3 linked regions of the Pelodiscus sinensis genome follow. The protein of the gene in region 3 interacts with the protein of the main gene of each other region in a biochemical or structural test. Links are inferred from orthologs where the notes say so. Each region holds a gene or a part of one and is shown on either strand. Other genes may lie near its edges. The genes, in order: RAD18, UBE2V2 and HLTF.

Evidence for each region.
Region 1: the proteins of HLTF (region 3) and RAD18 form a complex in vitro, tested with the Homo sapiens proteins (2 studies listed by BioGRID). The link is inferred for Pelodiscus sinensis from reciprocal best matches to the Homo sapiens genes HLTF and RAD18.
Region 2: the proteins of HLTF (region 3) and UBE2V2 form a complex in vitro, tested with the Homo sapiens proteins (2 studies listed by BioGRID). The link is inferred for Pelodiscus sinensis from reciprocal best matches to the Homo sapiens genes HLTF and UBE2V2.

Annotation. Positions count from the first base shown.
Region 1 is NC_134721.1:19,120,164-19,127,305, reverse strand, and holds the start of RAD18 (E3 ubiquitin-protein ligase RAD18), read left to right. Parts: upstream 1-4,088; 5' UTR 4,089-4,249; coding exon 4,250-4,297; intron 4,298-6,258; coding exon 6,259-6,340; intron 6,341-7,142. UniProt on the Homo sapiens protein: E3 ubiquitin-protein ligase involved in postreplication repair of UV-damaged DNA. Postreplication repair functions in gap-filling of a daughter strand on replication of damaged DNA.
Region 2 is NC_134712.1:69,650,000-69,657,437, reverse strand, and holds the start of UBE2V2 (ubiquitin-conjugating enzyme E2 variant 2), read left to right. Parts: upstream 1-4,360; 5' UTR 4,361-4,483; coding exon 4,484-4,499; intron 4,500-7,438. Other genes in the region: DNA replication licensing factor mcm4, read right to left, coding at 236-400, 3,701-3,773. UniProt on the Homo sapiens protein: Has no ubiquitin ligase activity on its own. The UBE2V2/UBE2N heterodimer catalyzes the synthesis of non-canonical poly-ubiquitin chains that are linked through 'Lys-63'. This type of poly-ubiquitination does not lead to protein degradation by the proteasome.
Region 3 is NC_134720.1:25,563,039-25,570,867, forward strand, and holds the start of HLTF (helicase-like transcription factor), read right to left. Parts: upstream 3,017-7,829; 5' UTR 2,901-3,016; coding exon 2,881-2,900; intron 1-2,880. UniProt on the Homo sapiens protein: Has both helicase and E3 ubiquitin ligase activities. Possesses intrinsic ATP-dependent nucleosome-remodeling activity; This activity may be required for transcriptional activation or repression of specific target promoters.

The sequences.
Region 1 (7,142 bases), on a different chromosome or scaffold from region 3:
GTGGGACACTGTTTTATTTCAGCCTAAATATTATGCCAATAAATTACATTTCTGTGAGCAATGTGCTGCTTTAGTACAAATGTAATTATAGTGAACTATTTAAAAAGCCTAACAATTGTGTTGATGCTTGTAAGTTTAATAGCCCATGATTAAGACCAGGCATCTGGTCCATAAAAGTTATTGCAATGAAGCACATAAAGAACATTTTGTCCATAGGACTGCAAAGTCAGATTCCAAACTGAAGGAAAACTTACCAAAATTTTCTCCTTAGTGGTACCATTACAGGGGGACTATGCAGGAGCAACTGCAAAGGAAATGCCTTCTATGGATCTCCAGTAAGTACAAGATGATATATGACAGGGATAGGGAACGTCAGCCCCGGTTCATCATTGGGGAGACTGCGTTAGTGCTCCAGCCCCCTCACCCACAGAGCTGGAACACGCAAAATCTACTAGCCTGGGCCCCCTAAGCTCTGGTGTGCAAGGGGAATGTGGGGAGTTTCTCAATCTCAGTTGGGGCCTCTCACTTTCCTTCTCACTTGTGTGGTCCCTGACTGATTTTTCTGTGGGTCAGCGGCCCCCGACCCAAAAAAGGTTCCCCACTCCTGAATTATGATGTTCTTTGGGTATAGTTTGAGTGGAAGTGAATGTGATCCTGTACCACTAGCTTCCACTCAGAATATACCCAACAACAAACTTCATAAATCATCTTGTACTAAACTACAGGAAGATGGCTGGGCGACAGCAGGAGCCTCAGCAAGCGTAATCAGCGCTGGTGAAGAAGTTTTCTATTTGACAAGCTGTTCTGTTTTGACATAATTACCACTACCCAACAGATACCATAATTATTTCCTATTTCATAGATCCCAAGGCCAGCAAAGACCTCTGTGATCATCTAATTCTGGAGTCTATGGCCTGAGCACTCCTCCAATCTAGCCTGCAAAATATTTTTTAAAAGTTATTTAATCAGGCCCATGTGGCTGCTGGATGGGCATGGAAGGGAGAGGGTGGGCAGCACACAGGGACTCACTTGCACACATGGCTCTCAGCAGCACACAGGCCCCTGGTGCCCACATAGTCCCAGCCATAGAGGGTGCTTATGCCACAATGAGACCCGTGGTGGCCAGAGAGCCCCACAAGCTGATGCACCTTTGTAGCCAGCAAAGCAGTGGGTTTCACTTTTGGTTACCTCAGCCAAGGATGGGGTATCTCAGCATGAGGATGTGGATGCTGGTGAGGTGTGGAGCCAGGTGGGATGTCAGTGTGAGGATGCAAATGTTAGCTGTTGGGGCAGGCGGGATCCCAGTGTGAGGGTATGGATGTTAGTGCGGGTGGGAGGGAAAGGAGGTGGCATCCCAGTCTGAGGACATGAGAGAATCAGGCTGAGGACTCAGTTTCATGTCTTGTAGGATCTTGGTTTCTGTGTGGGTTCCTGGACACAGGGGGAGACACTATCAACTTGCATGTACTGTATTGCCAACTCCAAAAGTTCAAAACTCATGAATCAACCTTCTTCACTCCCCAAAGAGAGATTGGCTTCTGGAAATCACAGATGAAAATATACTTGGGGATCTTTTTATTTGGCATCTGATGTTTGTGTTTTGTTTTGTTTTTTTGATAGCTTGCATACTTTTTGTTTTCCCTTTCCTTTTACTTTCATCTTTGAGTCTATGGGTTTTTTTCTATTAAATAATCTTTTTTATTTATTTTCACTGCAAGCAGGTATCTGGTATGCAAACTGTGAACTGTGTAAGCCAGGAATGTCAAACTCAAAGACAATCTTTGGCTTTCCACTTTCATACTAGTTAACATTCCTTTTGTAATAAGTTACTTATTGCCTTAAAAATGTTTTCCAGCATATCCCCAACTACTGTGGTGTCCAACCAGTTCTGAAGTTCTGAAGCAGTGGCCCTTATAGTGGTTACCACTAAAGCAAACTAGCAACACTCAAATGGCCAAATAGTCACATTGTTCAAGCCAACCAGCCACACTCAACCAGCCAATAACCACATGTGCATTAATTAAATAACAATTTAGACCCAATGTTTATAGAAGGATCCAACTAAAAACTCAAGGGATCAATGAAACACTCACACTAAATCCATTTAGGTATTTATAAAGTTCTCATCATGTTAGTCACTGATCTCCCGGTTTATTCTGGTTTGTTTTTCATCTCCTTTCTCTGAAGCAGCAGGCATGTCCATGGCTGGAAATGGGGCATTGGGTGGGGAGGACCAGGATTCTGAGCATTCTCTCTTTAGTACTTGGCAGGTTGGTTTTTGCTCACATGCTCAGGGGCTAACTGATTGCGTGTGTGGAGGGGCAGGAGCCAGGGGCAGAAGGGGGCCCTGGCCAGGGGGTTGGTGTGTGTGTGTGTGTGTGTGTGTGTGTGTGTGTGTGTGTGTGTGTGTGTGTGTGTGTGTGTGTGTGTGTGTGTGTGTGTGTGTGTGTGTGTGTGTGTGTGTGTGTGTGTGTGCGTGTGTGTGTGAAGGGAGGACAAGGGGATTGAAGACCCCCTCCCCATTCCAAAGATTTGTACCATGATGTTACTTGCTCTTTTCCTTCTTGTCACCTCAGGGAACAAGAGGAGAGTGCAGAGCACGTCTGCCCTGACCTGCCCAGCCAAAGTGAGGGTAATGCAGCAAATTGTGCCCTTTCCTCTTGCTTCCTGCCAGTGACAGGAAGGGGAATAACAGCAAACAGCATCCCGGTACAAATGTCAGGTGGGCATGCCCCCAGCCAACTCCTTTAATCTGCTTACCTGCCTGCTGCTTAATGCAGAAGCCTGCAGGAGATCTCTTGGAGACAGGTTGAGAGCATGCTGCGCCTCCTCCTGCAGCTGAGTGCCCCAGCTGGTCATCTCCTTCTTGCCAGAATAGCACAGTGGGGTGCACCGGCTTACTTTCTGGGTCAGACTGGCAGTGACCCTGGGGATTTTTGCCTTTCTCTACAGGATGTGGGTATGGATAATTTCGCTTCCATTGAAGTTGCCTTGGACACTGGTGCACCATGATCCCTCCTATTTACTAGCTGTGGGATATAATAGTCTAGTTTCCTTTGTCTAATTTCAGTTTAATGTGTGCATGCTGCTGGTAGCCTGAAGGTCAGACTAGATGAGCTGGTTGTCTCTTCTTAGGGGTTTCGACTTTGGTTGGACGAATTCTGGAGATCTCATCACATAGCATTATCTTTAATTAAAAATTAATCTTTAATTCCTGGAGACTCCAGGATAATCCTGAGTCTAGCCTTAAATTCTATTACTCTAAAAGTAATCGGTTATCTCCAGATTTTTCCAGGTAAAATTATAGGCAAACTAATAAATGACATTATAGCATGCTCAGATGGCTACACTGGTGCTTGTGCTTACTGCTGTATTGCGCGTCTTGCAATACAGTATTTGAACTTTCTTGAGGCCTTTGCTCCTGAAATCATCATATTAAAGTTAGCTTGCCTCGTTTTTTGTAATTTAGTTCTTCACAGCCACAAGACTCTGAAAAAGATTAAAAACAGGAATCTTAGAGGCAACTAAAAAGACATTTAAAGTTTTTTTTAAATAATATGTTGTCATATTTATGCCAATCTCATGATTTGATGGGTGGTTGTGGTATCCAGACGTGATTCCTGAGCGTTTGGTTAGACAAGGTGGAGTGTGATATTAGATTCAGTAGTAAGGTTGCCAGATGGTTTCAGCAAAAATACCAGACACACTTGACATTACATCTTATTTAGAAAATACCGGACATTTCTATTTTCTCAATTTGTTCCCCGAACAGAAAGCTCAAATACTGGACTGTCCCATTCAAAACCGGACACCTGGCAACCCTGTGTAGGGAGACACAAGAGGTCCTGTGGCACCTTGGAGACTAACCAAACCCTATAGCCCCCTGAGCAAAACCCACTTCATCAGATGATTAGGAGTGAGGGGGTGGCATGAGATCTCTCCATGGACAGCAGGGGAAGGTCCCAGGGCAACAGCTGGCCCTTGCATTCGAAACGCAGCCGCGGTACCATGTGTCTGCGCGAGGGAGGCGGAGCGGCTGACGCGTCGTAGCGAAGAAGGAACGATCCTTTGTTCCCTCGTGACGCCCAGCTCCATCCTGGCCCGGCAGCCCTGAGCCACGGCACAAACTACAACTCCCAGCAACCTCCGGGGGCGGGGCCGGAAGTGCGCGGAGCCGGCTGCTGTCTGGAGCGGAGCGCGGGTGATTCGGGGACGCTTGCGCGGCTGGAAGCGGCCTGTGGCGGGCACCATGGCGCTGGCCGAGCCGGGCTGGCCGGAGAACCTCTCCCTGCTCAAAGTGAGTCTCTGTCTGTGGGGGGGGGGGCGGTCCTCCGTTCCCGGCGCTGTGCGGCTTGGAGCGCGAGGGAGGCCCGGGGGCGCTGCGCAGTGACAGTGGGGAGAGCCCGGCGCCCTGGGGGAGCTGCACAGTGAGCGCGCGGAGCGGCCTCAGGGGACTGCACAGTGACAGTTGGGGGGGGGTGGGGGCTGCACAGTGACAGTTGGGGGGGGGTGGGGGCTGCACAGTGACAGTTGGGGGGGAGCCTGGAGCCTGAGGGAGTGGGGGGGGGGGTTGCACAGTGACAGTTGGGGTGGGTGGGGGCTGCACAGTGACAGTTGGGGGGGAGCCTGGAGCCTGAGGGAGTGGGGGGGGGGGGTTGCACAGTGACAGTTGGGGTGGGTGGGGGCTGCACAGTGACAGTTGGGGGGGGAGCCTGGAGCCTGAGGGAGTGGGGGGGGTTGCACAGTGACAGCTGGGAGGGTGCAGGCCTGGGTGAATGGGAGTCCATAGTGAGGTCTGGCGGTGGGGAACCTGAGGCCTAAGAAGGGGTTAGCACAGTGACAGCTGGGGAGTGCCCGGGGTTTTGGGGGCAGGCTGCACAATGGGAGCTGGGGAATGCACCCCCTGGGAGCAGAGGGTGATGACCAGTGAGATCAGGTGCTTGCTGTGGGGTGGTGGTGGGAATAAACTTTGGACCGTAAGTAAGAGCGCTTTAAAATCCTAAAGCAAAAGAATGGTTCCCCAGGGCTGTTCAAGTGTCAGAACTGGCATTTTGATTCATGGGGACTCCCCAGAGTGACTGTGGGGATGTCTAAAGTATCAAGATTGCTGCTGGCTTTATAGTTAAGGATGTTGAGAGGCAGGTAATTGGCGAATCGTGTAGTCAATTGAATTTTTATTGACTGCGTGATTATTCAATAAGGGAAGGTGCTCAGTCCTGGCCTGCACTGGGTCCAGGAGCTACCTGTGCTGTGGCTCTGCAGTTTAAATGTAGTAGGAGCCAGGCTGCCTCCCCATCTGGCTCTTAATACATTTAAACTGCAGAGCTGCAGAGGGGGTAGGTCCCAGACCTGGCACAAGCAGCTGGGACTGAGCAGGGCTGCCTGCCTGGCCAGAGCAGCCCCTGTCCATGGTGGCCTGAACTGGCCACAGGCAGAGGCAGCTCCAGCAGCAGCCCTATCTTTGGGGGATCCCTAGGGGAGAGGCAGGGGAGTCTGCTGCCCCAGGCAGAGGCTATGACCAGAGGCTCCCCTCTGGGAGCCCCCCCCCCCCCGTGGTCAGGGGCTACTGCCAGAGCAGCCTCTGCCTGTGGCCTGCGCAGGCCACTCTGGACAGGGGCTGTTTTGCCTCCCCCATGGTGTTGTCTCTCACAGAGGCAGCAATATTTATAGTGGAATTTACATTTCTCATTTCCAAAAGCTTTTAGGTGGCAGTGCATGCCCTTTTATTTTGACAAGACCCTTATCTTTCCTAGGGAGTGAGTTGGATGGGGGGGGGGGGGGGGGGTGGAGTTTTGTTAGGAGGACTGTCAGTTAATATTGAGTTACTAGAAAAGCTCTCCTTCTGGCAAGGGTCTTTTGCAAGGATTGCCTTTCCCTCCTGTCCTCCCTCTTTACACTTTTGAGCTCTAGCACTGATGCTGAGGATTAAATATATACACTAGAATTGATTTTGGAAGCTGTTTTGACTTACATTTATTTATTGACTTTGTATTCAGCAAGTTGCTACTGTTTAGCTATTTGACAGTTTGCATTTGGGTTGGTTTTTAGAGTAGCAGCTCTTGACATATAACTACTGTACCACTCATTCCCAGGGGATGTGAGGGATTTTTGTTTTTCATCTATGGGGTTTAAGAAACTGGTGGACAAGAATTTGAGATTGAAAGCATATTGATATTTCCTATATTGTATATGTAGTCTGAGGAAGAGATCTTTATGGGTGCCTTAGAATGACCTTAACTTTTATTTTTCCTATTTCAGGCAGTAGATGATTTGTTGCGTTGTGGGATATGCTTTGATTACTTTGATATTGCAATGATCATACCACAGTGTTCACATAACTGTAAGTATAGCAGAATTTTTAAGAGTGTGTTAATATAGCCCTTCCTGGTGCCTGACGCTCGTTCCATCCTGTCATCTCTTCTGTTAGCTTCTTAGGCCCTGACTCTGCTCTGGTCTTTTTGGGGTGGGCCAGACTGCCTGGCTCCAATCCCAGCCCCAACCTTGTTGCGCCTGGGGAAGCCTGGCCTCAGAGCTGCCACAGTGCGGAGATGTGCTCTTCCCCCCCAGCCCACGTGCTGCTGAGAGGAAAGCCTTCACTCCAAACCCGGCCCCACCCCATAGCCTGTACTACCAGTTTAACCAATTGGAGCCTTCACACCCTTGCATCACAGTGTTGTACTCCAGCCATCTGCCCCATGCTTGAACCCCCTTCTCACACTATGAACCATGTGCCTCCTTCTCTGCCCCTCCCCCCAGTTCATGAATTTTGTTATGTGCATCAATATGAAGGCGATGTATTATTGCACATCACCTTCATCTTGGGTGCACTTAACAAAATTCATTTTTCTCTGGGATAGGAAAAATTAGAGGGAACGTAGGTGGAGAGGATTACTTTAATTTGGGTCTGCGTTGCAGTCTGAATGCCGCCAGGCTGTTACTACATTTAAAATGCAGAGGAGTAGCGTCCCAGAACAGCATGAGCAGGGGATGCTCTGTCCTGGCTTGTGCTGAGTCCAGCAGCCTCTGTTTGTGGTGGCCAGCCCTGTCTGCTGCAAACAGAGGCTGCTCTGGCTGGGCGGCAGCAGCCCCTGTCCGTGGCAGGGCCCAGCTTCTGCTTATCGGGTAGTCAACTATTTGCTAAC
Region 2 (7,438 bases), on a different chromosome or scaffold from region 3:
ATGGCTATTAGCCAGGATGGGCAAGAGTGGTATCCCTAGTCTCTGTTTGTCAGAAACTGATTGACGGGGCATGGATCACTTGATGATTATGTGTTCTGTACATTCCCTCTGGGGCATCTGTCATTGACCACTATGGAAAGACAAGATACTTTAGGATAGACATTTGGTCTGACCCAGTATGGCACTTCTTATGTTCCAGTAAGAAATGAGTTCTACTTGCACCACCTGTGCATACCTGAATCACGAAACTGTGGTGGGCTGGAAAACAGAACATTTTGAGCATTTGGGCTTTGCATGTCAACTGCTGGAGAAGTTGGCATTGGCTGTAGATCTCCTGTAGATGTGGAGTCATCTGTTCGACGTTTTTGTGAAGGAGGCGACTGAGCATCTTCAGTGCGTGCTGTAACAATATGAAAGCTGGTAAGTAGCTATTTCAGATTTAAGTTGCAATGTTCTACACCGATAAATGTGAACAGATCAAATCACAAAAAAATCATATGGCAGAATGGAAAAAAATTGGTTGATATAAAATTAAAAAGCAAAGTGTAAAATTTTGCTGATATGAGAGTAATTGTGAGATTTCAAAGTGGTTAAAAGAATTTAAAATTGATATTGAATTTATCTTCCTAAATGCTTAAGATATCAGACCTGCTACAAGTGCTATGAAAACCTAGCTCATATCGTGTTTTTCCATCATATAGTGTTTTTAAAAAGTGCTTTGAAAACAGGATCATTACAGGCAGTCCTTGACTTTATGATGTTCAACTTCTGACGAATGGCATCTACAATGTTTCTGAATCTACACTCTAATTTCGACTTTATGACTCTCGGCCTCATAATGGAGCAGATTGCAGTTCTGAGTTATGAGATTTCAATTTATGATACAATTGATGTCTGAAAATAGCATTGAGAGTCTGAGGACTGCTTGCATCCCTATTTTCTAGTGGGGAAACTGAGGCACAGAGAAGAGGACCCAACCTACATACTAATGAGTATCAAAGATTTCAAGTGCAGCATTTCATGTACCCTATTTGTAAACTTGCCTGTATTTCGCTTTTAAAAAACTTTTAAACAACATCCTCTTCCATTAATGCATCGTTGAAGATTAGGGTCAGGTCTATAGCTCAAAGTTTTGTCAATATTGTTATGTCTGTCATGTATGTGAAAAAAACATTCCCCTAACTCAGGAGTGGAAAATAAGCAGGCCAGTCATGATTCATAAGGGGTAGTCCCTGGCAGGCCACCAATCACTTTATCTGAGCATTCACAGGTACGGTACCTTGCAACTTTTGTCAGCTGTGATTCACCAATACCAGACAACGGAAGCTGTAGGAATCAGTAACCCAATGAATGATGGCCTACAGGAGCTGCAAGTGGTACATATGGCTGCTCAGAAAAATAAAGTGTCCAGTGGCCTGATAGGGACTAACCACTTATTGCCCACTCCTGCCTTAAGTTGATACAGGCTATACCAGGAAAGCCCAAAGTTGTAGCCACAGTTATGCTGACAGAAGAATGTCACAAAAATGGAAAAGACCCACAGTGGGCTGAGCTCAGGAATGACATTACATGCGCTGAACACTCCTCTGCCCCTACAGCTGTGCTGGCAAAGCCTTGTAGTGTGGACAAGGCCTTTCAGAAAAAAACAAGTTCAGCCCACAACTGACAAAGAGTAATGTTCCTTAAGTCACCTTGCTTAAGTGGCCTAAAACCGGTAACTTCTTGCTTCCCGCATGTCCAGATTTTTGAACTCTTGTTTTAATGATGAAAAACTGCATGTAACATTCTTCTCAAGACATTTGCTTTGCAGAGCAAACATAAGAGCTAAACTCCATCTTTTCTTGGGCATCAGCCAGGCTAAACCTACATATGGAAGAATTCCTGCTTATTATAGGCAGCTGGAATAGGAGGGAAACCCTGAGTGTGTCTATGTAAATACAAATTGCTTCTGTTTGCTTAGATATTCAACTGCTGCAACGATTGCCCATTGTAACCAATTTGGTTGTTGTGGGATCCCAAATTGCATTAACAGTAAATGCAGGAATTGTGAAATATGATCACCTAGGCTTGCAATTATTGTGGGAAGGCAGAAAAGTCAGACTGTTTAACCCAGTTCAAAAGGAGAGCGACTCCATCAGTTTAAAGACAAATGGATGGACAGAGGCTGTGAGATAAAGTTGGGGAGGGCAGGACTCCCTATCAGTAATCTACATGCTCTCCAGGCATGAGGGTTAAAACTGGTTCAACTTGTTTCTCCTCCTCCCCCCCCACTCCTGTTTCAATGATAGAGCTAAAATAGGCCCCAGAAATCATCTCTTTAATTTACTCTAGTGGATGATGGCATTTTTTATGGCTGGACTGTGCTTTGGGCCAAGAGTTGCAATCACTAGACTTGGCGCAGAGCCAAACCCACCACAAGCTGGCAGAAGCAGCAAGTGCATGGTGACTGAGAGCTAATAGGTCAGTGTTGGAGAGATAGGACGAGCGGCCAGCAAAGTGCAGTGGCATGATGAGCAGCCAGCAGAGTGATGACAGCACCATGAGCAGCCAGCAAGGCAGTGATGGAAAGGAGTGATGAATGGAGGCAGGGCTGGTGGCTGGCAAATGATCAGCCAAGTGAGTAAAATTCCTCCTAACCCCTCCACTCAGGATGGGAAGTGAACTCTGTGGATGCACCTCTAAGCTATGGGTCTGCCCTGACTAAGGGCAGCAGCTGTGAGTGGGGTGCAGAGAAGGGTAACACTTGAAAGGGACCAAGTATCAGAGGAGTAGCCGTGTTAGTCTGAATCTGCAAAAGCGGCGAGGAGTCCTGTGGCATCTTATAGACTAACTGAAGTGTAGGAGCATAAGCTTTCGTGGGCAAAGACCCATTTCGTCAGACGCATTCATCTGACAAAGTGGGTCTTTGCCCACGAAAGCTTATGCTCCTACACTTCAGTTAGTCTGTAAGGTGCTACAGGACTCCCTGCCGCTTTTACTTGAAAGGGACATTTACATTGCTGCACTTTGCCCCTCAGAAGCACCCAGAGCTGTCGTGTTAATTCGCCAGGTTACTGGGTGCAGGCTCAAGCCAGTTCTGTGTTGGATGGATGGAGAGGAATCCCTACTATTGAACCTGGCCCCGGCACTTGCTGATGCTACCTGGCAGAAGGGTTACATCCACTTCATAGGTAAGTGAACCTAGTTACTACAGACAGGGATCCGAGGAAGGCACACAGGCTGCTGAGCATAGCTAGGGTTGCCAGGTGTCCGGTTTTGAACCGGAGGGTCCAGCATTTGAGCTTTCTGTTCGGGAAACAAATAGAGAAAATAGAAGTGAGAAAATCCAGCTGTCCGGTATTTTCTACAGAAGATGTGATGTCGATTGTGCTGATGTCGTGTCAAGCGAGTCCGGTATTTCTGTTGAAGCCATCTGGGACCCCTAAGCGTAGCTAGGCGCAGGGAGACCCAACCCCAGGTGCAAGACGCCGCTAAGCGGGCAGCTACTGCCCCCCGCGCAGGGGGGGCTCCCACCGCCCGGAAAAGCCCCTTCTCCCAGGGCAGGCGGTGCCCAAGCCACGGGGCTACTGCAGCGGGGCTACCGGGACCGGCCCGTCCCACGCCGCAGTGCGAGGAAGGGGCCGCCCGCGCGCCCCGGCACGGCCCGCGCCTCCCGGCACCCGCTCAGCGCCGAGCGCGGGCTGCTGCGCCGGCCACTTACGAGTCGGGGGGTTGCTGCCCCGCCCGCGCTTGCTGCCGCGGCGGCCAGTCGGGGTGGAGGCCGGCGAGGACATGGCGCTGCTCCAGCGGCTGCGGCTCCCTGCCGGGCGGAGAGAGAAACTGAGGCAGGGGCGGAGCGACCCCCACCGCCTGCGAGCGGAAGCCTCGCTCCGCGCCCCGGGACCCGCACGTCACAGGGGACCGCACCCGCCGCTCGCTCCCCCTCTGCGCGCGGACACGGGACGCGGGGTCTCGCGCTCTCGACCCCCTCTTCTTCCCTCAGCACCTTCGGCCGGCCAAGGAACGCCGAGAAAATTCCGCGCCAAATGGGTCACGTGGCGGGCCCTCGCGGGTTTTCCTTCCAATCGCCGCACGGGAGAGCCCAACTCGGCCCGGAAAGGGGGACGGAACCACCCATCTAGGTTCCGGCAGCGAACGATGGTGCCTTAGGGGCTCTGAAAGCCTCGCTACAGGGACAGAACAAAGACTGACAGGAGCCCGATTCCCCCACAATACAGGGAATGCCCCCACGTAGAGCCTACATCAATTCATAGGCAGGGTTCCCCCTCCTTCTCTGGTGAGAGTGGTAGCGCCCAGTCTCTTGGCACAAGCGCTTGTTCCATCTTCGCCCCGCATCGTGCATTCAGGGCCGGCTTCCCTTTCCGTCGCTAGATTTGCAAGCTCTGTGTTTTTTTTTTTTTTTTTACTAGGAAGTGACGTGCTGCGTCAGGCGGAAGTGACGCGATTTGCCCAGGCTCGGGCCGGTGGGAGGGGTTTGGACAAGATGGCTGGATCCACAGGTCTGTGAGGGGGGCTCGCGGTGGGCCTGGGCCTGGGGCGGGTGCGGCGAAGCCGGTTCCCGCGGGGTGGGCCGCGGGCGCTCCGGGAGCGGTCGGCGTCTGTATCCGCCTGCGTTCGGCAAAGGGGCGGTGGTGCCTAGGCCGAGCTGCGGCGGCCGGGCCAGGCCGAGCCAGAGCCTGGGGGCTTCCGGCGCAGCCCCGGCGCAGGGCGCTGAAGGGCAGCGCTCCCCTCCCCAGGGCCTCGGCTGGGGGCGGTAGCGTCGCTTGTAAAGGGCTGCGGGTTGGGATGGCGGAGGCACCTGCGCGGGCCCCGGTGCACGGGGCTGGGGTCTGTGCCTGGCAGAGCCGCCGGGAGCGGAGCCCGAATCCGTACGGCGGGAAGGGAGCGGACTCGCTGTCGGTGTGAAATACAGGGTAGTGGCGGGGCAGGGCCCGGGGGAGATGAGGCGCTAGTGCTCAGTGCCCGGCTTGGGTGGCTGAAAGGCAGGGCCGGGTAGGAGGGACACGGCGTAGTGTCCAGTGTGGACAGACTCGTACAACCAAGGGGATCGATGCCATCTCTTAGCTTACTGCAAATGGTGATGAGCTGAATGGAAGAACGTCGGGATGGCGTTTCCCACTAGCTTAGGTGGTATCGTGTAGCTCAGTAGCTGAGCAGAACCTAACTTATTTTTCATTAGAAGCAATATCCGGCCCAGGGCAGAATCTCAGTCTGGGTTCTAATGTAATACCCAACTGAGGATTTTAGAGGGGATTTAGGATGGAAAGGAATCAAAGTTAACTAACAGAGTGAAAGGTGGAGAAGATCCCAGGGGTAGCTGAATGAACTGACTTCAGTGCTCAGTCAAGGTAATATGAGGGTCAAGATAACTCGACTTAATGTTTCCACTGAGTTTCTGGAGTGGTAGGCCACAGATCAGAACCTTGTGAGGCGGACCTCACCTTCCCCCTCCATGTTTGATGCAGTTCCTCTGCAGGGGAAGAGGAATAGGGTACTAGGTAGAGCTTGGGGGAGGAAAAATTCCTTTCTGAGCATGATTTTGGAAATGGGATGTGAATGGCAGATCCTGAAGAAAGGGAGGAGAGCAGCCTTCAGTATCTCAGGGAGCTCACCACAGGTGATGCAGTGCTTCCCTTGCTGACAGTGAAAAAGCTTGTGTTGCCCAATGTGGGCTGAATTGGGGTAGGCTGCTATGTGTGATAGATGGGTATATTAAAGGAACTGTGTATTGACTTTACTGTGGGAAAACAGTGTTTTCTTTCTCTCTCTAAAAATGCTTTGTGATGTCTTAGTTTAAAATACTTTTTTTTTTAAAAGAACTTTTAGTATAGAGTTCCCAGATTCTATTTACTCCTACCTGCCTCTGAGTTCTACGTCTTCTGGTTTCCTTTAATAAACAGGAAGTAAAGTTGGTTTTGTTTGTGAGTTAATCTTTGCATCTAGCAACTTTTTTGTATTCAAAACAGTTGTTTCATTCCAGAAATAACTAAAAGTTCCTGTTATTGAATCAGAATACTGTATTACTTCTGCTGTGTACTCAATAATAAACTCATTGCCTTTTCCTCGAGCTCTTGGCATATTAACAAATAAGATTATTTTGTATAGCTTGTATGTGTGTATATGTCTCTTTACAGAAATGACTTTCCTTATTGAAATGTACATACTTGTATAGTAAAACAACTTGGTTATTTAATAACTGTACATATATACTTTCTTGTCTCCAGAGATCCTGAAGTCTTTTATACCATACTTCCCTAGCACCATTGAAAATCAGCCATCTTTTCAATCAAGGGGACTATGATGGCATCGTTGGGGTGCCGTCTGGAATAGATGGACCGCTGTGCCTCCCTAGCTGGATAGCCTGCGCTGTGTCTAATGCTTTGCTAAGTACAAACAGCTAACCGTCCAGGTGCTTTGATCACTCAGCACAGTAGCATATGGAGTCCTGCATTGAGCTAGATTGTATGAATGCTCCCTGAGTCACTCATGAATTGCACAGAGAAAGCCACCAGCCATGTCTTTCCAGCTGCCAGCCTTGTACCTCAGGCATATACTGTCTTGCACTGTTCAATTTATTAGTTGGTTCACCACTTCATCATTGGGAAGTGGAAATGCTCTAGCTTTTGTAAAACCAAGCAATTACCTCCATGCACTTCATGCAAACTCACTGGTAAAGATAAACACTTAAAAATGTATTGATTACAAAAAATAGTCAGAAAATCAGAGTTAGATACCAAAAGAAATAAAATATAACCATTCAGAATAAACTTTCAACCCTATTATATTGAGCAATATCTACTGTAAGCACTCCACTGAATATTGCAGTCCATAATATACAAGTTTGTCCATTAAACATGGGCCAGCCTCCTCTGTTGCAGTCTTCCCAGTGTCCTGGTTGCTTTCAGTATATGTTAGGGCCAAAGAAAGGTGAAGCATAGGCCCACTGAGTTTTCCTAGCATGCCCAGGCCCAGACATGTCTCGTGGGCATTGCTCCGTCTCCAGGTATGGTTGAGCAATTCCCCTGACATGGCATCATGCAGGTGAGTCATTGAATTGTAGCTCTCTTGCTAGACAATGGCTGTTGGTGATTGTTTGAAACCCCGCCCAGGCATCGGCTGCTCTCAATGCAGTTGTCTTTGGGGAGTTAATATTTGGTTGATTCTCCAACTTCCAGCATGTTTACAACACTGTCTCAAAAGTGTGTATGCACTAAAAAGACACATATTTAGATAATTTCTTAAATGTCATTTAACTATTACCTTTCCCCTGATACCTCACATGGCATGCTTTATATGAAATATCACAGTTATATGCAGATGAGAAATATGAGGATAATAGGGGGCTCCATCAAGCTATAGAATGTCACAGGGGCAACCAGGCAGGGTCAGAGAACTACACAACAGGAAGTAAAGTTTAGTTTTTAAGGATTCAGTTAAA
Region 3 (7,829 bases):
AGTTCCACAGGTTGACTGTGCGCTGTGTAAAGAAGAACTTCCTTTTTTTTGTTTTAAACCTGCTGCCCATTAATTTCATTTTGTGGCCCCTAGTTCTTATATTAAGGGAACAAGTAAATAACTTTTTCTTATTCACTTTCTCCATACCACTCATGATTTTATATACCTCTATCATATCCCCCCCTTAGTCTCCTCTTTTCCAAGCTGAAGAGTCTTAGTCTCTTTAATCTCTCCTCATATGGGACCCGTTCCAAACCCCTAATCATTTTAGTTGCCCTTCTCTGAACCTTTTCTAATTCCAGTATATCTTTTTGGAGATGAGGAGACCACACCTGTACTTAGTATTCAAGATGTGGGCGTACCATGGATTTATAGAAGGGCAATAAGATATTCTTCATCTTATTCTTTATCCCTATTTTAATGATTCCTAACATCCTGTTTGCTTTTTTGACTGCCGCTGCACACTGCATGGATGTCTTCAGAGAACTATCCACAATGACGCCAAGATCTCTTTCAGTATAATCATGCTTGTTTCAATTATTTTGGTTAATTATATTTAAAACTACAGTACAATGGATGAAAAACAGAACACCGAAGGAACTCCTCAAATCCCCTTTAATAGTAACGTAGCTAGTACTGACACTTTATTGATCAACAAATATATACAGCCATTTGCTCAGTGTTACACCATAGGCAACTGAAGAGCAAGTGAGGGCTGGGCACTCTTACTTACAATTTGAATTGACTACTGGCCATTTCCAGAAAGGTCAGTAGCAAACAGTTCATAGACCACACTCTAATAGGAAATTTTCAGTCCACAAATTTAGACCAGCTCTAATCACTGAAGTACGAGAAGCTTTTATAAGGCCATACTGACACCACTCTGGCAATGTAAAGGAGCCTTAACATTTTTTACACCTTGTATATACTTCTGGGGAAATTCACTAAGAATTAGGGATGTAAGCAAACAGTCAACTAACTGATAAGCCTAGGCTTATCGGTTAAGCTAGTCAACTACTCGACAACTCACATTTGTCCGTCCGTCCCCACTGCCTCTTTATAAGAGGCAGCAAGGGGTGGAGGAAGCAGGAGCCATTACAAAAGCCAGGTCATCACAGCACCATCTCCGTGGTGCCACCTGTACTCCCTCCTGTGCTGCTGCCTCTATCAACTGGGCATGTACAGGGGCTGCTCTGGCCAGGAACCTACCCCCTGCTGTGGCTCTGCATTTTAAATGTAGTAAGAGCTGAGCTGCCTGCATGCCTGGCCTTTAGTACATTTCAACTTCAGAGCTGCAGCAGGGGGTAGGTCCCAGTCCTGGACATGGAGCAAGCCACAACTGAGCGGGGCTGCCTTCCCTTATCAACTAATTGAGTGGTCGATAGTATTTTTATTGACTACTCGATTAGCCAATTAACCGCATCTTAACATCACTAAGAACAATAGGAACAATTCACTAAGAAGGCAGGCTGCTACATTTTGCTCTGCCTGAGGAGCCTGCCCCATACCTACCTCCTCAGAAATATCCCTTATAGCTCACAACCCTGCCTTAATTTGGACATGTTGTGGTAACAAAGAATTAACTAATGTAACATGTCTAACTGACGTGAGATACCAACATTTAGAGAGCACTAAAGCCCAACTAAGGAGATACAACAGAGGTCACAGGATTAGTAAGGGAGTATGAAAAAGACAGTCATCTCACAAAAAGTGAGAACTGGCCGTTCTCTCCCCTTCAACACTAACTGATAACTGTTTCCATAACAATTGGTTGGACCTCTATAGACTGGCAACATATGTGGTCTGACATCCCTGTGGATGTTCCCAGGTTGGAGCACTCATAAGGAAAAGCCAGGGCCCATCCTCAGCAACTCCTCCCCTGTCCTCCCAGAGCACCACAAATAGCTCATTTGCAGGGCTCAATCTCAGGGACAAAGGGGGAGAAGCAGGAACTGGGTGATGCTCAATGGAAGAGGCAGGAGTGCCACCCTATGGGCCTCTGCAGCCACCTGGCCTTTTTCCCCCAAGCGCTCCCTCCATTTGCTTGGTCAATGCCAGTCCATCTGCTGCCATTGGAGTGGAACCCCACAGCAAGCAGCAGCAGAGGAGCCAAAATTGACCTCCTCTGGTCTGGCAGATGCCTTGGTTTGTGATCAGTCAGGTCCTTAAAGTAACACATCAAGAAAGTACAAACCCACCGAAGCCTCCCAGTCCAGAGAGCCAAAAGTCTAATCCACTGCTGGTTTCCAGCCCGCAGATGTGAAATTGCGGTAAGCCAGTTAAATAAAATGCTTAACTGATTAAGTGTAATGCTGCAGGGCACACACGAGATGCAGAGGGGCTGGGGCTGCAGCCGGCCTGGGTCCTGTTTGCCCTTCCTAGGGCCAGGGCTGCCAGGATCCTGCCTGTCTCTGTCTGGTGGGGCTAAGACAGGGCTGCCACAGCTGTTGCCCTGCCCTGATTCCTGCCACCCAACCAGTTTAACCAGTTAACTACCCGGTAAACCTAATGCTTACCTGGTAACCATTTACACTCCTGGCACAGCTCCACTATGCACCCCCCCCACACACACACACACCCCTCATGGCACCCAGTCCCACTCCCTCAGCCCCATTTCCCCAGGGTGCCCAGTCCCCCCCTCGCCTCAGCCCCACCTTCACCCCCCCCCCCCAGCACGGCGTCCAGCCTCACCCCCATTGTTCCCCTCCAGGCTCAAGGCACTCAGCCCCACCGGCCCCCGCGGCCCCAGGACGTCCATTCCCACCCCCTCTCTCCCCAGGCCCAAGGCGCCCGGCCCCTCGGCCTAGCCCGCTCTCCCAGCATCCGGCCTCGCTGGCCCATTGCACAAGGCCCGCCCGCTTTGCCCCCACGGGACCTCACCGCATGTCCATCCAAGCCATGGCGCTGCTGGGGGCCGCCGCACGGCTAAGGGCACAGAACAGATCCTGCAGCGTCCTCCCCCCACAGCCCGCCGTCAGTGCAGCGCTACCAGCCTGATTGACAACAACAACACCAATCTCACCCCGCATGTCACAGGCCCCAGCCAATGAGAACAGGGCTGTGGCAGAGGGGCGGGACTTTCTCCGTGAGTTCTCTGTGCGACCGAAAAGAGCCGCCAAGCCTTCGAGCGGCTGCTTCCTGTGTCCCACCGTCTCCCTTCCACCGCCGCGGCGGCCAGGAGGCTGCACCCACAGCCTGGTTGCCAATTAATTCCCCTTGCCCGACCCCCCGCTACTGACACCTCAGCCCGCGGTGGCCTTCGGGCTCCCTGCACAGCGGGCATAGAAGAGGTCACCTGGAGAAGCAGTGGAGTCTCTGTCACTTGCAGTCTTTAAATCTGGACAGGATGGCTTTCTAAAAGGTCTGCCCCATCGCTGAAACTCAAACAAGTTATGGGTTTGATGCAGAAATTACTGCAAGAGATTGGCCTGCGTAATGCAGGCCAGACTAGATTATAATAATGCCCCCTTCTAGATTTAAAGTCTATTCATTGCATGTCATCACATCTTGATATCACTGGATCAATTTGTGGCATTAGTACCTAACAACTCAATGGTGATTGACTTTTCAAGCCCAGGGCTGCCAGGTGTCCGATTTTCAACTGGAACACTCAGTTGAAAAAGAATTTGGAAGGTTCCAGTCAGCACTGCCAACCTGGCTGTTAAAAGTTCGGTCAGCAGTGCTGCAGAGCGAAGGCGGTTCCTACCTGACCTGGCTCTGTGCTGCACCCTGCAAGCAGGCAGCAGGGGTATGGGACCAGTGCTCAGGGAAGGTGCAGCATGTGGAGCCTTGTGGGTTCCCCCACCTAGGAGCCAAACCTGCTAGCTGTTTACAGGCACAGTGTGATGCAGGATAGTAGGCACGAATGGGTCTGCCACTTAGCATACATGCCCACCCACCGCCCTGCCTCTACTACCACCAGACCATGAGGGCTTGCCCATCTCCACTCAGTGCTCCAGGGCTATATCTACACTGGTGGGTTCTTGTGCAAGAACTCTTGCGCAAGAACACGTCCACACGGCCATGTGCTTTTGCACAAGAGCATCCATGGCAGTGTGGATGCTCTCTTGCGCAAGAAAGCTCTAATGGCCATTTTAGCCATAGGGCTTTCTTGTGCAAGGAGCTCCTGCTGCACATCCACACTGCCATCTTTTGCAAGAGCTCTTGCACAAGAGGGCTTACACTTGTTAGAAAAGAGCGTAGCTCTTGTACAAGAAGCCCTGTCTTCCGACACCGTACTGTAAATCTTCTTGCACAAGAGCAGATGGGCAGTGTGGACGCTTTGTGGGTTCTTGCGCAAGAACGGCCATTCTTATGCAATAATCCACCAGTGTAGACGACAGCCCAGGAGATTAGCCTGCTCCTCCACCTGGCTCTCCCAGCAAGCCTCTGTGCCCTGACCCAGCTTCCCTGCTGGGAGCTCCAGGCAGCGAAGCAGGGCAAGCCCTGGCAATCCATCCATGCTGGGTGGCATAGCAGGGCAAGCCCCTGTGCTCTGACTGTTCCATGCTCAGAGTGCCGGGCAACAGAGCAGGGCAAGCCCCAGAGTTCCAACTCCACTGCTAGCTGGAAGTGCCAGGTGGGCGGATGGGACATACCCATGCCCTGAGTGAGGGGGGAGCAAATGGGAGGATCGCACATTTATATGGGGGCTCCCATTTTTAAGAGGGCCCCTGGTCAGAGCATCTATCCCTTCCCCTCTTCCAAGGCTACTTGAGGGAGGAGGAGAGGCAGCTGCATCATTGCTACTCCCCAGTCATTGCCCACCCACCCAAAGTCTGAGCCCCCCCATCTGGTCTATTCTGGCTAAGACGTTGCTGTAGTGCCAGGACAGGTAGAGTCTAGCCTGCCTTAGCTCCACAGTACCACCAACTGGACTTTCAACAACCTAGTTGGTGGTGCTGACTAAAACCACCAGGATCCCTTTTCAACTCAGTGTTTCAGTTTAAAACCAGTCATCTGGTCACCCTATCCACAGAGCCTCACCCCCAGATAGAACCCTCATGCCCCGCAGTGCCTCACCCCCTTACCCCAGCTCTGAGCCCACCAGCCAGGAGTGAGAGGCATGCAAAGAATGCAAGCACTTTCCCCGCACTCCCTGAGACACCTGGGGAACGGGATCAAAAACAAGCCGCATCACAGAGTGCATGGCTGTTGTCCTCTCCCCTCCCCACACTCCATCCTGCCACAATTCCACCCTTGTGAGGCAACTGCAAAACCCAGTGGAGCTGCTTCTAGCCCTCAGTGCTTTGGAGTTGCAGCTTCAGCCCGGGCAGGGGCCTTGCAGAGCCCAACTAGGGCACTGCAGGGCAGGGCGTGCTTGGGCTTCGCAGGTGCACTTTGTGTGTTGCCGCTTTCTCTCCCCTTGCCCTACCTGCCCTGGTGTGGGAACAGCAGCACAGTGACACGCTGTCCAGAAGCTTTCCTCACAAGGGGACGCAAAGCTAGGTAAGAGTTCCTCCTCATGCCCAGACCCCCCACACCTCAATCCCATCACTCAGTCCCCTCCCCAACCAAAACCCTGCACCCCCAGCTTGTGCTGACACCCTCCCTCCCAGCAATCTTGACTCCTGTGCCCGGAGCTCTGCACTCTGCACAACACTGCTGCCAGGGACTGTCCCCAGCAGCTCCACTGCATCCCAGGACTCCTGCGCACTGCCATTGGCTCCATTTTGCAGTTTGCAGCCAACGGGAGCCCTAGGAAGCAGTGTGGGCTGGGCTGCTGCTTCCCGCAGCTCACCTGGGCTCAAAACAGCGAAATGGAGCCAATAGGAACAGCGAGGCTCCATGGCCACAGCGCCAGTAAATAAACAAACCGGCGAGGGCAGTTAATAGGTTTCTCAAAGTGGTTTCGTGGACCACTTTGAGAAAACATTGAGCTAGAGGGGAGGCTGTTACAGATATGATTTTGACAAAAAGGGAAGAATTGTTTGAGAATCTGAATGTAGGAAGTACCTTGGGTGAAAGTGATCATCAAATGATGAATTCATGATTATAAGAAACTAGAAGATTTCAGGCATTGCTCGGGTCCATAGCAGCTTGGAGTCAGGTGAGAAGCACTTCTCCATGGTTGCTGCAGCTCCAGGAGGCATAGCCAGGGAAGGGGTTCATGTCCCCTGGCTGGGGCAGGTCCAGATTTGTCTGTTCACTACACTCCCCAGATTGAGGAATGGAGCAAACTGTGTATTTTCCCCTCACTCCCTGATAGAAGAGGAACAGCCAGCATGTTCCCATGCAAATGGGGGGTGGAGCTGCAGCTCCCCCCACCCTCGCTAAAGGGTACCTGAGGGATGGGAGGCCCGGGCCTAGGACAGTCCTGGCCGTGGGACACACCCCAACCAGCTCCTTTCATCAGCCTGGTGATTTCTATATTGTTGTATGTATCCCTTTTTGCATGGCGGGGGGGAAGGGGAGGAGGGAGCTTCAGCCTGCCCCATCCCAGTGCAAAACCAAACCTTTATCTTGCTTTAAGTTATGATTCACTTTCTTTTATTCCAAATTTGGTGGTCCTATCTCTTACCATTTAGGAGGAGTTCTTGAACAAACAGCTGGACAGACTTACTCACAAGTTCTCAAATATATAGTAGATGATAGGGAAAACAGGAGAATAAAAATAGTGGAAATCATGCTTCACCAATCTTTTAGAAGTCTTTGAGGGGCTCAACAAGCGAACAAAGAAGATCCAGTTGATACTGTGTACTTGGACTTTCTGAAAGCCTTTCACTAGGTCCCACACCAAAGCCTCTTGAGCAAAGTAAATACTCATGGATTACGAGATGAGAGTCTAGTGATGGGTTAAAAGGAAGCAAAGGTTAGGAAGAAATGGTCAGTTTTCAAAACAGAGAGAGGTGAATTTCTGGGTCCCTCACAGATATGTACTATGACCTATTCTGTTCAGAATATCCATAAGTGATCTGGAAAAGGCGATGGACAAGAGGTGCCAACATTTGCAAACAATACAAAATTATTCAAGACAGTTAAGATCAAAACTGACTACAAAGAAGTATAAAGGAATTTCACAAAAGTGAGAATTGGGTGACAAAATGTCAGATGAAATTCAACATTGGTAAGTGCAAAGTAACGCACGTTGGAAGATATAATGCCAACTATAAATACAAAAGCGATGAGGAGTCCTGTGGCACCTTATAGACTAACTGAAGTGTAGGAGCATAAGCTTTCGTGGGCAAAGACCCACTTCGTCAGATGCATGTAGTGGAAATTTCCAGAGGCAGGAATAAATATGCAGGCCAGGATCAGGCTGGAGATGACCAGGTGGATCCAATCAAGGAGGATGAGGCCCACTTCTAGCAGCTGATCTGGAGGTGTGAATTCCAAGAGAATAGAAGCTGCTTTTGTAGTTAGCAAGCCATTCACAGTCTTTGTTTAATCCAGAGTTGATTGTGTCAAACTTAAAGATGAACTGTAGCTCAGCAGTTTCTCTTTGAAGTCTGGTCCTGAAGTTTTTTTGCTGCAGGATAGCTACTTTTAGATCTGCAATTGTGTGTCCAGGAAGATTGAAGTGTTCCCCTACAGGTTTTTGTATGTTGCCATTCCTAATATCAGATTTGTGTCCATTGATTCTTTTACGTAGGGACTGTCCAAACAGGACAGTCCCTACGTAAAAGAATCAATGGACACAAATCTGATATTAGGAATGGCAACATACAAAAACCTGTAGGGGAACACTTCAATCTTCCTGGACACACAATTGCAGATCTAAAAGTAGCTATCCTGCAGCAAAAAAACTTCAGGACCAGACTTCAAAGAGAAACTGCTGAGCTACAGTTCATCTTTAAGTTTGACACAATCAACTCTGGATTAAACAAAGA